Linked DNA regions of Ovis aries. The protein of the gene in region 2 interacts with the protein of the main gene of each other region in a pairwise test. Links are inferred from orthologs where the notes say so. Each region holds a gene or a part of one and is shown on either strand. Other genes may lie near its edges.

Evidence for each region. The genes of interacting proteins can lie anywhere in the genome.
Region 1: the proteins of SEC22A (region 2) and ERLIN1 interact in binary tests that used the Homo sapiens proteins (3 or more experiments, as listed by UniProt). The two-hybrid records come from large-scale screens. The link is inferred for Ovis aries from reciprocal best matches to the Homo sapiens genes SEC22A and ERLIN1.
Region 3: the proteins of SEC22A (region 2) and SFTPC interact in binary tests that used the Homo sapiens proteins (3 or more experiments, as listed by UniProt). The two-hybrid records come from large-scale screens. The link is inferred for Ovis aries from reciprocal best matches to the Homo sapiens genes SEC22A and SFTPC.

What each region holds. Positions count from the first base shown.
Region 1 is NC_056075.1:20,870,951-20,875,178, forward strand, and holds the start of ERLIN1 (erlin-1), read right to left. Parts: upstream 2,852-4,228; 5' UTR 2,726-2,851; intron 2,493-2,725; 5' UTR 2,482-2,492; coding exon 2,369-2,481; intron 381-2,368; coding exon 299-380; intron 1-298. UniProt on the Homo sapiens protein: Component of the ERLIN1/ERLIN2 complex which mediates the endoplasmic reticulum-associated degradation (ERAD) of inositol 1,4,5-trisphosphate receptors (IP3Rs).
Region 2 is NC_056054.1:188,498,717-188,502,277, reverse strand, and holds part of SEC22A (vesicle-trafficking protein SEC22a), read right to left. Parts: intron 1,616-3,561; coding exon 1,415-1,615; 3' UTR 1-1,414. UniProt on the Homo sapiens protein: May be involved in vesicle transport between the ER and the Golgi complex.
Region 3 is NC_056055.1:43,446,648-43,450,901, forward strand, and holds the start of SFTPC (pulmonary surfactant-associated protein C), read right to left. Parts: upstream 2,852-4,254; 5' UTR 2,840-2,851; coding exon 2,798-2,839; intron 2,068-2,797; coding exon 1,909-2,067; intron 1,325-1,908; coding exon 1,202-1,324; intron 960-1,201; coding exon 849-959; intron 504-848; coding exon 366-503; 3' UTR 356-365; intron 162-355; 3' UTR 1-161. UniProt on the Homo sapiens protein: Pulmonary surfactant associated proteins promote alveolar stability by lowering the surface tension at the air-liquid interface in the peripheral air spaces.

The DNA.
Region 1 (4,228 bases), on a different chromosome or scaffold from region 2:
GTTGTGTTTCAAAATCTTGCTTTTACTCTGATAGCAAAACAGAAAACCTGCTGTATTCCACTATATAGATGGGAGAAGTCAGTCCTTAAAAGCTGCCTAGCTCATACTTCCAGAGAGTGATGTCGTTCAAAGTCATAACTTATGCTGTGACAACTGTACTCTGAACTTTAGCTTCTACATTGGTAGCATACTATCATTTGCTTAAGCAATAAGGAAATCTATCTCTACCCATGAATGTGGTAACTGTTCCTGTCACACTTGTCTTTCTAGTGTCAGGGCTTCCCTAGGAATCACTCACCTGCACAGATCTGAAGGTAGTAATGAAAGGCAACATGATATGATAGCCCGGTCCACTGGGGCTAGTTAGTAAAGCTCCTCCCCTGCAAAAAGATGTTTTAATTTGATAAGATTATAAAAAGAGAAATTCTCTTTCCAAATCTAAAATGCTACAATAAACATTCACTCTTACTCATTCTATTGATTTACTAAAGCCTCACTAGTATAAGTTACTTGTGATGAACAATTGCTGGTCTCTACAGTATCTGTCATACCTACAAAAGTGAAAAGATAAAATTAAACTGTTAACATTACACCTTGTTTCACAAGCTCTAACAACCACATCTCTGGGTCTCCACCATACTTTCAGGTATAAAGATTCTCTTTGGTCTTTAATCTTTTGAGAAGTACTTGTGGAAAAAAAATTCAGCTGGCTCTCAGTTGATGTACTTTAACTGTACATAACACAAGCCAGATCAAAACATAATACATTTAATCACTGGGCTGGAAAAAAAAAAAGAGATAACACAAACTTCCAAGTAAGGAGAAAATTTCTGATGCTCACGATTCTTTTACTCTACATAGAAAGCAATTACAATATTGGGGGCAATTAACATATACACAACACTATATATAAAATAGGTAAACAAGGACCTACTGTATAGTACAAGGAACTATATTCAGTATCTTGTAATAATCTATAACATAAAAGAATCTGAAAAATATATAAACATATATAAATCACTTTGCTAAACACTTAAAACACAACATTGCAAATTAACTATATTTCAAAAATTTTTTAAAAAATACTTGGACTATAAAGCCTCTATAAAATCAACAAAAAATTAGCATATAAAGATGAAGAATAAAGAGATAAAACTATAAATCAATGTTATAAGCATAGATGTGAATAGAAGTTCACCAAATTCTGAAATGTAAGAAACATGACACCATACTCTGGAAGTTATAAAAAGGAGGCAATTTGGAGGCAACAATAAAAATGAAATTCTGTTTTATATAGTGAATAGTAAATTCATAGAACTTAGCTTTCTATCTTGAAAATATAAACAGATTTGCAAAGAATTCATAACAAATAACTAAGAAAAGATTAATTGTTTTAGGTCCATCCCTAACTCTTTGAAACCCACACCTTGAAATGTTCTTTCTTTGCCTTTACTATCACTTTTTTCCATTATTCCAAAAAAATTTTTTTTCCAAAAATTTTTAAAATTTCAAATTCATTGAAAGAAAGTTATATGCTGAACTAGATGGAAATACAGACTAATCTGTCATTTTTAAAATGCCAGACTCCCACCCCTACTTGCTAAGACTATTCCTAAGACTCAAGGTGGATCTAAAAGTGGAAACATCAGTTTTAGGGGAGGATGGGCGGAAGCCAGCAAAAAGTTGAAGCTCTTTCAAATACACCACTTCAAATTTCTCCAAACTATCATCTGTCTACATAAAAAAAAAAAAAAAAAACTGGTGGAAACTACGTTGAAGGAACAGCTATTCATCTCAGCTAGAGAGCAACTAACAAACTTCACACCATTCCTTTCCACGTGAAAAGAAAGAGAAAGGTTGGGAGGATGTGTCTGTCACAATCCTGTGCTTGTCTCCCAAGGTCCAGGAATTTAACTGTAATGGTCTTCATGGCCTTACAAGCCCAAGCCAGATGCCATAATCTTTTAAAGAAAACAAAAAGCTAAGAAACCACCACAAACAGGACTCAAGTTTCTAAATAGCATCTACAGCTGCAAACAGAAAGTCAGTAAAGCTGTATGCAATTTAACAATGATTTATCCACCTCCTCAGCTACAGATGGAGTGACCACTGCCTTCCACCTTTCATTTTTTCCTACAAATAAGTGGGTTTACTATTAGGAACAACTGTAGGGAGTCTTAATCTCTGCACAGCACTGAAACTGTCCAGCTGTCTACAAAAGCCTGCCACCACCCCCAAACCCCCTAGGGATGCGACGAAAATCACCTTCTAGGACTAGAAAAAGTTCCCCGAGAACAATTTCCTAGACTCGAATAAAAGTCTCCCTCTCCCTGCTCTAGAACCTGAGCTGACTGCACGTGCTGCTCACCTGTAGTACACGGCCAGGTGTCCTTCCTCGATCTTGTGGATGGAGGCGTAGAGGAGGACCACCACCAGACCCACCACTCCAGCCACCAGAACTCGGGCTTGAGTCATATTCATCTTAATTCCTCCTGCATGCGGATGGAACGCAGCCCCAGCCCCTTGAGTGACAGGCCCACCACCTCTGGTTTCCACCTTCCCCCTCGCGACCCGGCGCCGTCCCGCAGGCCGAGCTGAGGAGTCCTATGCCCCCTTTTCCTCCTCGCCAACCCGCTCCGCCAGAGCTGGCCCGTGAGTCGACACGGCTCGGCCTGACAGCCCCCTCCCGACGACCACTCCTCCCCGCCCAGCAGAAGGCACTAACTGAGAAGGGAGCCAGCCGCAGACTCCGGACGGAGGCCGACCCCTCGGCCGGGCCTCACTAATCAGTGACGCATCGTCCCCGCCCGCACGTGGAGCCGCCACCAAGGCCGGGCCAACCGCCGCCAACAGCCGGCCCCGCCCACCCGCGGGGCAATGCGGCTGCGCGGACACGCACGCCGACGCCGCGCCCTGCGACTAGAGACGGGGAGCGAATGGGACAAAATTCTCCAAGCCGCCCGCCAAGAGATTCGCGCGAAGGTGCGTAGGGTCTTCTCTGTGTGCTTTTGGTTTCCTGCTCCGGAAGAAAAGGGAAGTGGGGTATTGGAAGTAAGCAAAGGGGCAGAGGAAAGAAGGCATCTGAGACATCCCTTAGTGGTCAGTTTGTCCTTGTGCAAAGACATCTATTAACGTGCTAGAATGCTGATCCAGTGAGGGCTTTATGAAGGCCATCCAAGCAGTAAGAACCGAATGAACTAATAAGCACGCAAACGTGGGTGTGTGTTGGGAGGGTCCTTCAGGAAGACTACGAACAGTGAGCGTTTGAACTTCCTTGAAGCCTCTGTGTTGGAAAGGAGTGGGATATTAGGCTAGGCCCTGATTTTGAAAGGCCCTAAAACAGTGCTTTTCTGCAGGGAGGGGAAATTGGATGGCTAGAGAATAAACCCGGAGAAAGCAATGGCACCCCACTCCAGTACTCTTGCCTGGAAAATCCCATGGATGGAGGAGCCTGGAAGGCTGCAGTCCATGGGGTCGCTGAGGGTCAGACACGGCTGAGCGACTTCACTTTCACTTTTCACTTTCATGCATTGGAGAAGGGAATGGCAACCCACTTCAGTGTTCTTGCCTGGAGAATCCCAGGGACGGGGGAGCCTGGTGGGCTGCCGTCTATGGGGTCGCACAGAGTTGGACACGACTGAAGCGACTTAGCAGCAGAGAATAAAGACATACTTTCTTTTCACTAAATACTTTTCTGCCCTTTTAAGTTATTCATTGTTATTTAGTCACTAAGTAGTGTCTGACTCTGCGACCCCATGGACTGGATGCCAGACTTCCCTGTCTTCACTATCCCCCGGAGCTTGCTCAAACTCTTATTCATTGAGTCTGATACTATCCAGCCATCTAATCCTCCGTCTCCCCCTTCTCCTACCCTCCATCTTTCCCAGCATCAGGGTCTTTTCCAATGAGCCAGTTCTTCACATCAGGTGGCCAAAGTATTGGAGCTTCACCTTCAGCATCAGTCCTTCCAGTAAGTATTCAGGGTTGATTTCCTTTAGGACTAGACTGGTTTGCTCTCCTTGTTGTCCAAGGGACTCTCAAGAGTGTCCTCCAGTACCGTAATTGAGAGCATCAGTTCTTTGATGCTCATCTTCATGGTCCAATTCTCACATTGGTACAAGACTACTGAAAAACCATAGCTTTGACTACATGGACCTTTGTCAGCAAAGTGATGTCTCTGCTTTTAGTGAAAGAGTAAAGATAGGAGTGAGATAGATGAATATAAGGG
Region 2 (3,561 bases):
CCATTCCCTTCTCCAGGGGATCTTCCAGACCCAGAGATCAAACCAGGTCTCCTACACTGCAGGCAGATTCTTTATCATCTGAGCCACTGGGAAGCCCTCAAAACCAGAACCAAAATATGCTTCCTCTCACAACTGCTTAAACAATCTTTACAAGTTATCAAAAAGCACCACTTAGATAGTAGGTGCTTAACTCCTCGAAGTCATGAAATAATATGAGGGATAATAAGTGCTGAGAGAGGAGTTACCTTCTGACTCTTAGAACAACTCAGTGTTTCCACAGGGCAGGACCCATATCACTTGGTGGCTTGTGAGATGACTTTAGGTGATACACAACACAGAGTTAAATGATGTTGAGTCACAGTGTGAATGTCATTCCCTTTATAATTTTCTTTTAAACTTCTGATAATTCCACAGAGAGAGCCCATTTTGGGGCTAGCTAACATCTCTCACTGCAATAAAGAAAGAGTAGGCTTCTTGGATTCAGAGCCTTGGCAGTCATTAGCATCCAGTTAGAATCTCACAACATCCTGTTTTATTTTTAATTTATTTTGTAGTTCTCTTTTTTAATGGCAAACTGATGCTGGTTTTTCACTTGGAGTAGAGGTTAGTTTCTTTTTAAAATGTTTTAAAATTTAAAAGATAAATATTAAGTAAATAATAGCATATGTAATAGTAATACTTAAGTGATTGAAGTTTGGCAAATAATGGCTATAGCCTAATGACATATTTTTAAAAAGTGATTTCAAAAGAAGGTGTAAATGTGGTCTAGGAAAGAAACGTGTCACTGTGTTTTCAATACTTATGATGCTCTAGGGATGAGCTCACCACAGCCTTCTCCTACATCAGGTGATTTCCAGAGTTAAGATTCAAGCAAAAATATAAAAGGAAAAAGAAACCATTCCATACCAATCAGGACTTCATAGACTCATGGTACAATAAATGTGCAAATGATCTAATATTTAGTGAGTCATTTGTTTTACACATAAACTTTCCAATTCACTGCAGCATCTTTTATTTGGTCTGTACTAATGCCTCACAAAGGCAAACTGGGGTTGTAGAGTTCCTGCTTGGTTCTCAGAGCAAGTACCACACACACTTCTTGACTGAATTCTCCAGCCATGATTCAGAGCTGTTGGCCAAGTCTTCCAATGGCATCTGACTGTTCTTCCAATGCCATTGCCCTGTAGAGAGGGCTCTTCATCTTCTTCTGAACGATAATCATGGCCAACATTCTGCTGACAGGAATTTGCCTACCAGGTATTGCATGCTCACAGGCATGCCATGCTGACTTAAAAAGGACAGCTGGAGAGAAAGAAAGCAGAGCTTCTCATTTGTGGTGAACAGTTTCTTCATCACAGTGGTAGTGTCCTTCCTTTTCCTCTTTAAGGCAAGGCAATATGTCTGAAGGATGGTGTCAGACATCATAATCAGGAGCTTTGCCCTGGGCTTGCCTTAGCCAGATCTGTAGTGTAACAAATGCTCCCACAGTCACGTGAAAAAAAAGCTGCCAGAGGTTGCGCAGTTCATAGAGATACATGTTGCATAGACAGATTAAACCGAAAGTCAAAAAAGATTTGACATTCCGCCAGCTGGTATAGTAGACGAGTAAATAACACTGTTGAAAATATAAAAATAAATGATGATTAGGGTTATAGGAAGAAGAAATGGATGCTGCAACTATAAAACTTTAACAGGCCACAGGGTGAAATATGAGAGTGGAATGAGGGGATTTTTCAACTACAGATAAGACAATGTAATATCTTTAAGACATTCAGCTATGAAAGCTCCACAGCTTAAAAGGGAAATAGGTTTCTCCTTTTATGTTTTTCATTTTTCAAAAGGAAAAGCGTTTTGTATTGTATTTAAAATAGATAAACTTCCATGCAAACAAGCTAAACAAATTCCTCAAGATGACAGGCAACTAAGAAGCAGTCTTAGGATCTTAAGGGTTCTTATCCCAGAAAGGTTAAAAAAAAACTCATACAAGTTATTCAGCAAAATGGGCTCATATAACCTGAATCTGTATATTAATGAAATCAACAAATATTTACTTGAGTCTAAGGGGCTAAACTAGAACCTGAGAGAACACTTGAGGGAGAATTTATTCAATGGAAATTTATTTATCTGTTTGGTGTTGTTCTTTGGTTTTAAGTAAACAAAGACCTCACTCAGATGGAGCTTACATTCTACTGGGAGAAGACAGATTATAAAGTTTATATATAAATATATATATGTGTTTATATATATAAAATCAAGCAGTTATGTTCTAAAAAAGATTTTTAAAAATGGGACACAGAACTCAATGAGTGCTGATTTAAAAGATAAAATACTCTCCTGCACCCAAACCCTGGCATTCACCTTTCCTCCTTTATTTTTCTCTATATTACATTTATTAACATACTTCAAAAATATGCTTATTTTTTTTGTCATCTATAGTCTTCCAATGAGATCCAAGCTTCATGAAGGGAGAGGTTTTTAACTGCCTTGTTCACTCACTTTTCTCCATTGCCCCAAACAATGCCTGAAAGTTAAGTCGCTCAGTCATGTCCGACTCTTTGCAACCCAGTGGACTGTAGCCCACCAGCCTCCTCCATCCATGGGATTCTCCAGGCAAGAATACTGGAGTGTGTTGCCATTTCCTTCTCCAGGGATCTTCCTGACCCAGGGATCGAACCCAGGTCTCCCACATTGCAGGCAGACGCTTTAACCTCTGAGCCACCAGGGAAGCCCAAACAATGCCTGGTATGTATATAATAAGTGCACAATAAAAATCTGTTGAATCAATGAACTATTTTCTAGAAGATATCTAAAACTCCAAGTCTGGGATATATAGGAGTTACATATGATCACAAAGTCTTAGGAAAGAGGTGCAGGACTCTGTGTGAGATTTATATCCAGACTTCAGAACAGGAAGAACATTAGAGTGTTTGTGACAATACAGAAAGAATGTGATGCTCTGCTTAATGCATTTAGTTCTTATACAGATCAGGCCTGTGTTTGCTATCCAAGCAAAATTTAACTAGAAAAATTTATTTTATTGGAGTGTTTTGAATTTAACAAGTTGAAAAAAATAGAAATTTTCTTTTGAAATAATTTTAAATGTAAGAAAAGTTACAAAAGCTTTTCACCCCAACCAAATGTTATCCTCATATAACCACAGTATAATCATCAAAACAGGAAATTAACATTGATTTTAATACTATTAAGTAACCTAAAGACTTCACTTGAGTTTTGCCAGCTATCCCATAAGACCCTTTTCCTGGTCCAGAATCCAATCCAGGACTCCATATTTAATTTAGTTGTCAGGTCTCCTTGAATCTTTAACAGCTCAAGCCTTTCTTTGTTTTCTGTGACCTTAACAGTTTAAAGAGTACTGATCAGTTATTTTGTAAAATGGTCCTTAATTTTGGTTCGGCTGATATTGTCTCAAAATTGAATAGAGGATATCCAATTTTGGAAAGAAGAATACCAAAGAGGTAATATGTGATGTGTCAAATTACTTATTAACTGTGATCTTTTGGTAAGGTGGTATCCAACAGGTTTCTCCGCTAGTTACTGTTT
Region 3 (4,254 bases), on a different chromosome or scaffold from region 2:
CCTTGGGCCCTAGGAACTGCTTCTCCTCTGCCCACCTCTCCCCACAGCTCCCATTTCTCCAGGGCCAGTCCCAGTGGTGTCGACAGTATCCACTTCCTGCCAATCTGCACAAGACCCTTTGCTCCTGGATCTCCACTGTCCCTTTGGGGCTTCCTGAGGCCCTGGGAAGCGAAGAAACACTGTTTATTATGTGAGGGAGGACTGGAGGGGGTGTTTGTGAACCTTCCCTCCCTGGAGCTCTGTAGGTGACCCCATCTTGTTGGGTCCCCCAGTGCCTGGTCAGCTGACGTGAAGAGGTGGCCCAAACCGTCAGGACTGCGTCTGTTCCTGTGCCCTGGAGGTCACACCTGCTCACCTGACCAGTCCTAAGTGTAGTACAGGGGCACCTCGCCACACAGGGTGCTCACGGTCCTGCCCAGGAAGGCCAGGTCCCCAGAGAATGCTGAGCCAGCGTCACGGCCCTGCTCCTGGCCCAGCTTCGAGGAAGGCACTGGGGGCTTGGCCTGGAAAGAGCATCTGGTTTAGAGCCTGGGAACTCAGTTTCTGTCTCACCTATGGTCCTTATCATGGGACCTCAGGTGTACCAGGCAGTCTCTGTGTAAAGAAGGTGTTGTGCTGGAGTCAGAGCCCCCAGGGGGTGTGTGGGCTCAGCTAAGCCAGCAGCTTGGCTGCGGGGCAGGGATGGGGAACTTGGCTAGGAAAGGTTGGGTGCAGGGGGATCCAGGGAGAACATTCGCCTGGCAGTCCACGAGGAGCAGCATTTTACAGGTGACAAAATCATCATCTAAAATGCTCCTGCCAGCAGCCCTGGGAAAAACCAACCCACTCCCTCTTACCCATACACCCACCTGGAAGTTCGGCAATTTTCTAGTGAGAGCCTCGAGACTTGGGATGCTCTGCGGAGCCACCTTCATAATGTAGCAGCAGGTTCCGGGGGCTGGCTTGTAGGCAATCAGGAGCTGGGCATGGGAACATATGAGGGTCAGTTCGGAAGCCGCTGCCTAGCTCACTCCTAACTCTGGTCCTAGGCCATCCCCCTCTAGGCTGGGCACTGGAAGGAGTCGTACTGGAATCTGGCGCTTAGCAAAAGCGCTGGGCGTGGGGAGAGATGAACCTGTAGGAAGGCCAAAGCAGAAGAGGTCTAGCACAGAATTATCACTGGTTCCTTAGCCTTGGGGTCAAGAGGTCCACGCATACCCACCCGCTGGTAGTCATACACCACAGTGCCAGTGGAGCCGATGGAGAAAGTGGCAGTGGTTCCCACACGCTCACTCAGGGCCAGGCGTTGCTGTGCTTCCGGGCCTGCGATGCTCATCTCTAGAACCTAGAGGAGGGCATCGTGCTGCCTGGCATTCCTCTTTCCCCACTCATCCCTGCACCTCATGCCCACCCTCAGTTCCCTTTGTGCTGTGCTGCGCTCAGTCACTTCAGTCATGCCCAACTCTTTGAGACCCTGTGGACTGTAACCCTCCAGGCTCCTCTGTCTATGGGATTCTCCAGGCAAGGTTACTGGAGTGGGTTGCCATGCCCTCCTCCAGGGGATCTTCCCCGACCGGTAAGAGATGAAGCCCTCATCTCTTATGTCTCCTGCATTGGCAGGCGGGTTCTCTACCACTAGCACCGCCTGGGAGGCCCCAGTCCTCTTTACTCAAATGCAATTCTTTCTTCCCTGGGAGCTCAGAGAGGCCCAGGGGAACCAGGCACTGGAGGGAACAGATTGTCCAACTGTGGGGTGGGGGCTGGTGAAAAAGCCCAGGCAGAGTTTGCCACCCTGTTTCCACCTCTGTCCTTCCCTGAGGCGTCACTTGCCTCCTCCCCTCATTCCCCGTGGGCAATTTGCTCTCTATCCCAGGGCCTCTATCTGACCTGCCCTGTATCCACTGCCCACCCCATCCCAAGCCTACTCACCATCTCTGTATGTTTCTGGCTCATGTGAAGACCCATGAGCAGGGCTCCTACGATCACCACGACGACAAGGACCACAACCACAACCACGATGAGAAGGCGTTTGATGTTCACGGGACAGCAGGGGATGCGGAGCCGGCCCCCGGGGACTGCTGAGTAGTCCTGACATGTGGGGCAGGCGAGGAGACAGGTATGAGGTCATGAAGATGCCACTTCTCCCTGCACAACCGGGACACCCTCCCAGTCTCTCCCGGGACTGAACAAAGAATGCCATGGATGTGCAGAAGAGGGCTGAGCCGGTTAGACGCTTCCTGGAGGAGGGGGCCTGGATTCCAACAAACTCATAGATGCTTAGAAGTGAGGTCTAGCTTGAACAGATCCAAGAGAGCCTGTTTCAACCAGTCTCACTTGCTGCTGTTTCCTCCACACCTCTGACATCCCAGCCACACCCATCCCCTCCAGTTCCCCTCCAAATCCATGCTTTTAGGTGTATGATCCCTTCTTCCAGCAATGCCTTCCTCCTTCTCCACCTGCTGAGCTCTGACTTGTTCCTCTGGAGCCAGCTCAAATGTTAGTTTCTCTGCAAAGCTTCCTGTGACCTCCCGCGTAGTGGCTCCTTTCCCAGTGCTCTCTACAGTCTTTTCCACAGACCCCTTTAATGGCTCACAGCCCCTTGTATGAGAATTAGTGGCTGCTGAGTCTGCTACTCCAAGAGTCTCTGTCTTAGTGATTGGTGTCCCTGTCTTAATTTAGCACAGTCCTAGGTTAGTTGAGTGAATGAATTTGGGTAGGAAACAGGCCCGGAGAAGTTGGAGGAGGCAGAGCCCATCATACACAGATACACTGTTGCACACATACACACACACATACATGTACATACGATCAGACTCACCGGCGGGCTCTCCATCAAGACCTCTTTGCTGCCCACATCCATCTTGCTGTAGACACCTTCCCTCCTCATCTCTGAGTATGACTAGGGTCTTATATGTGCCAGCATGGACACAGGACAGAGGTAAAAGACCCAGCCCCTGTCTGCCAACCAAGCCCTCAGCTTTGAAGCCTGTTTGTTCCTGGCCCTTCAGAGCCAAGGGCCAGATAAGCCAGCTGCAAGAGCGCCTCAGGGCCCTTGGCCCTGGCGCGTGAGTCCTCTTGGCCCCAGGGAAAGCAAAGCTGGGTAAGCTGAGCAACCTTGCCCTTGAGAAATCTGCACCTCTCACCGTGGGTGTCTTCCTGGCATGCCTACCATTCTTGCTGGCACCTGCCCCTGCCATCTTATGGCTTTTCTTGTTCTTCTGCCAGGCTGAACCTCTTTGGCAACCAAAGGCCAGACCCAATGGGTCCACCACACTTCCCAACAGATTTGCTCCCAGAATTGCCTCCAAATTGCCCCTGGAGCCTAAGCTCCAGGAAGGGGAAATCTTGTGGACCCACAGGGATAGTACCAAAGGCACGAGGTGCTTTGGCATCAGTGCAGAGTTTCATAAATGGTTCATAAATTTCCTGGGAGTGTCAGATTTTCAATTCAAGTGTACCTTCTTTGCCTATTCACACATGTCTTGTACCTAACCTCAGACATGCCCCTGGTCATTCTTTCCCAAATTCTGAAAACTGTCCCTTCTAGTTATAAATTCTTACTAACATGCAGTTTTTCTTTCTTTGTATGGGCTTGTTTGTAAGCTGAAGGCTTTTTCTTTTTAACCTGGTTTTACCATTTTTGCATTTATTTTTAAGTTGTATTTATTTATTTGTTTATTTTTGCTGTCCTGGGTCTTCACTGCTGCTTGTAGGCTTTCTCTAGCTGCAGCCAGCAGGGGCTACTCTCTAGTTGCCGTGCACAGGCTTCTTCTGTAGTGACTTCTGTTGCGGAGCACAGCCTCTAGAGTGAGTTCTCAGGAATTGTGGCACACCAGCTCAGTTGTCCCAGGGCAGGTGGGATCTTCCCGGACCAGGGATTGAATCTGTGTCCCCTGCATTGGCAGGCGGATTCTTAACCCCTGGACCACCAGGGAAGTCCCTGAAATTATTTTATGCTGAATTTATTTTCCAGACCATACATTTTTGCTTCTTCAGTTTCTTCTGGGACAGCTTTCTCTTCCGCGCAAGTTTCTGTGCACGTTTAGGAATAACTGGCTCTTTTCCCAGTCAGGATCATCTCTGTGTGCCGGGGGGAGTCCTGCAGGGGTTAATCCGACTGTGAGCTCTGCGAAGTCCTGTGCAGCATCTTGGGGGCTTGTTGACCAGAGAATCCACGTCGAAACCCTTCAGTTCAGCATTACTGTCTGCATTTTTAAGCACGTGCAGCAAAACTCAAGCATTCTTTTTGGGTCACCAAATCTATGTTTAGCCCCT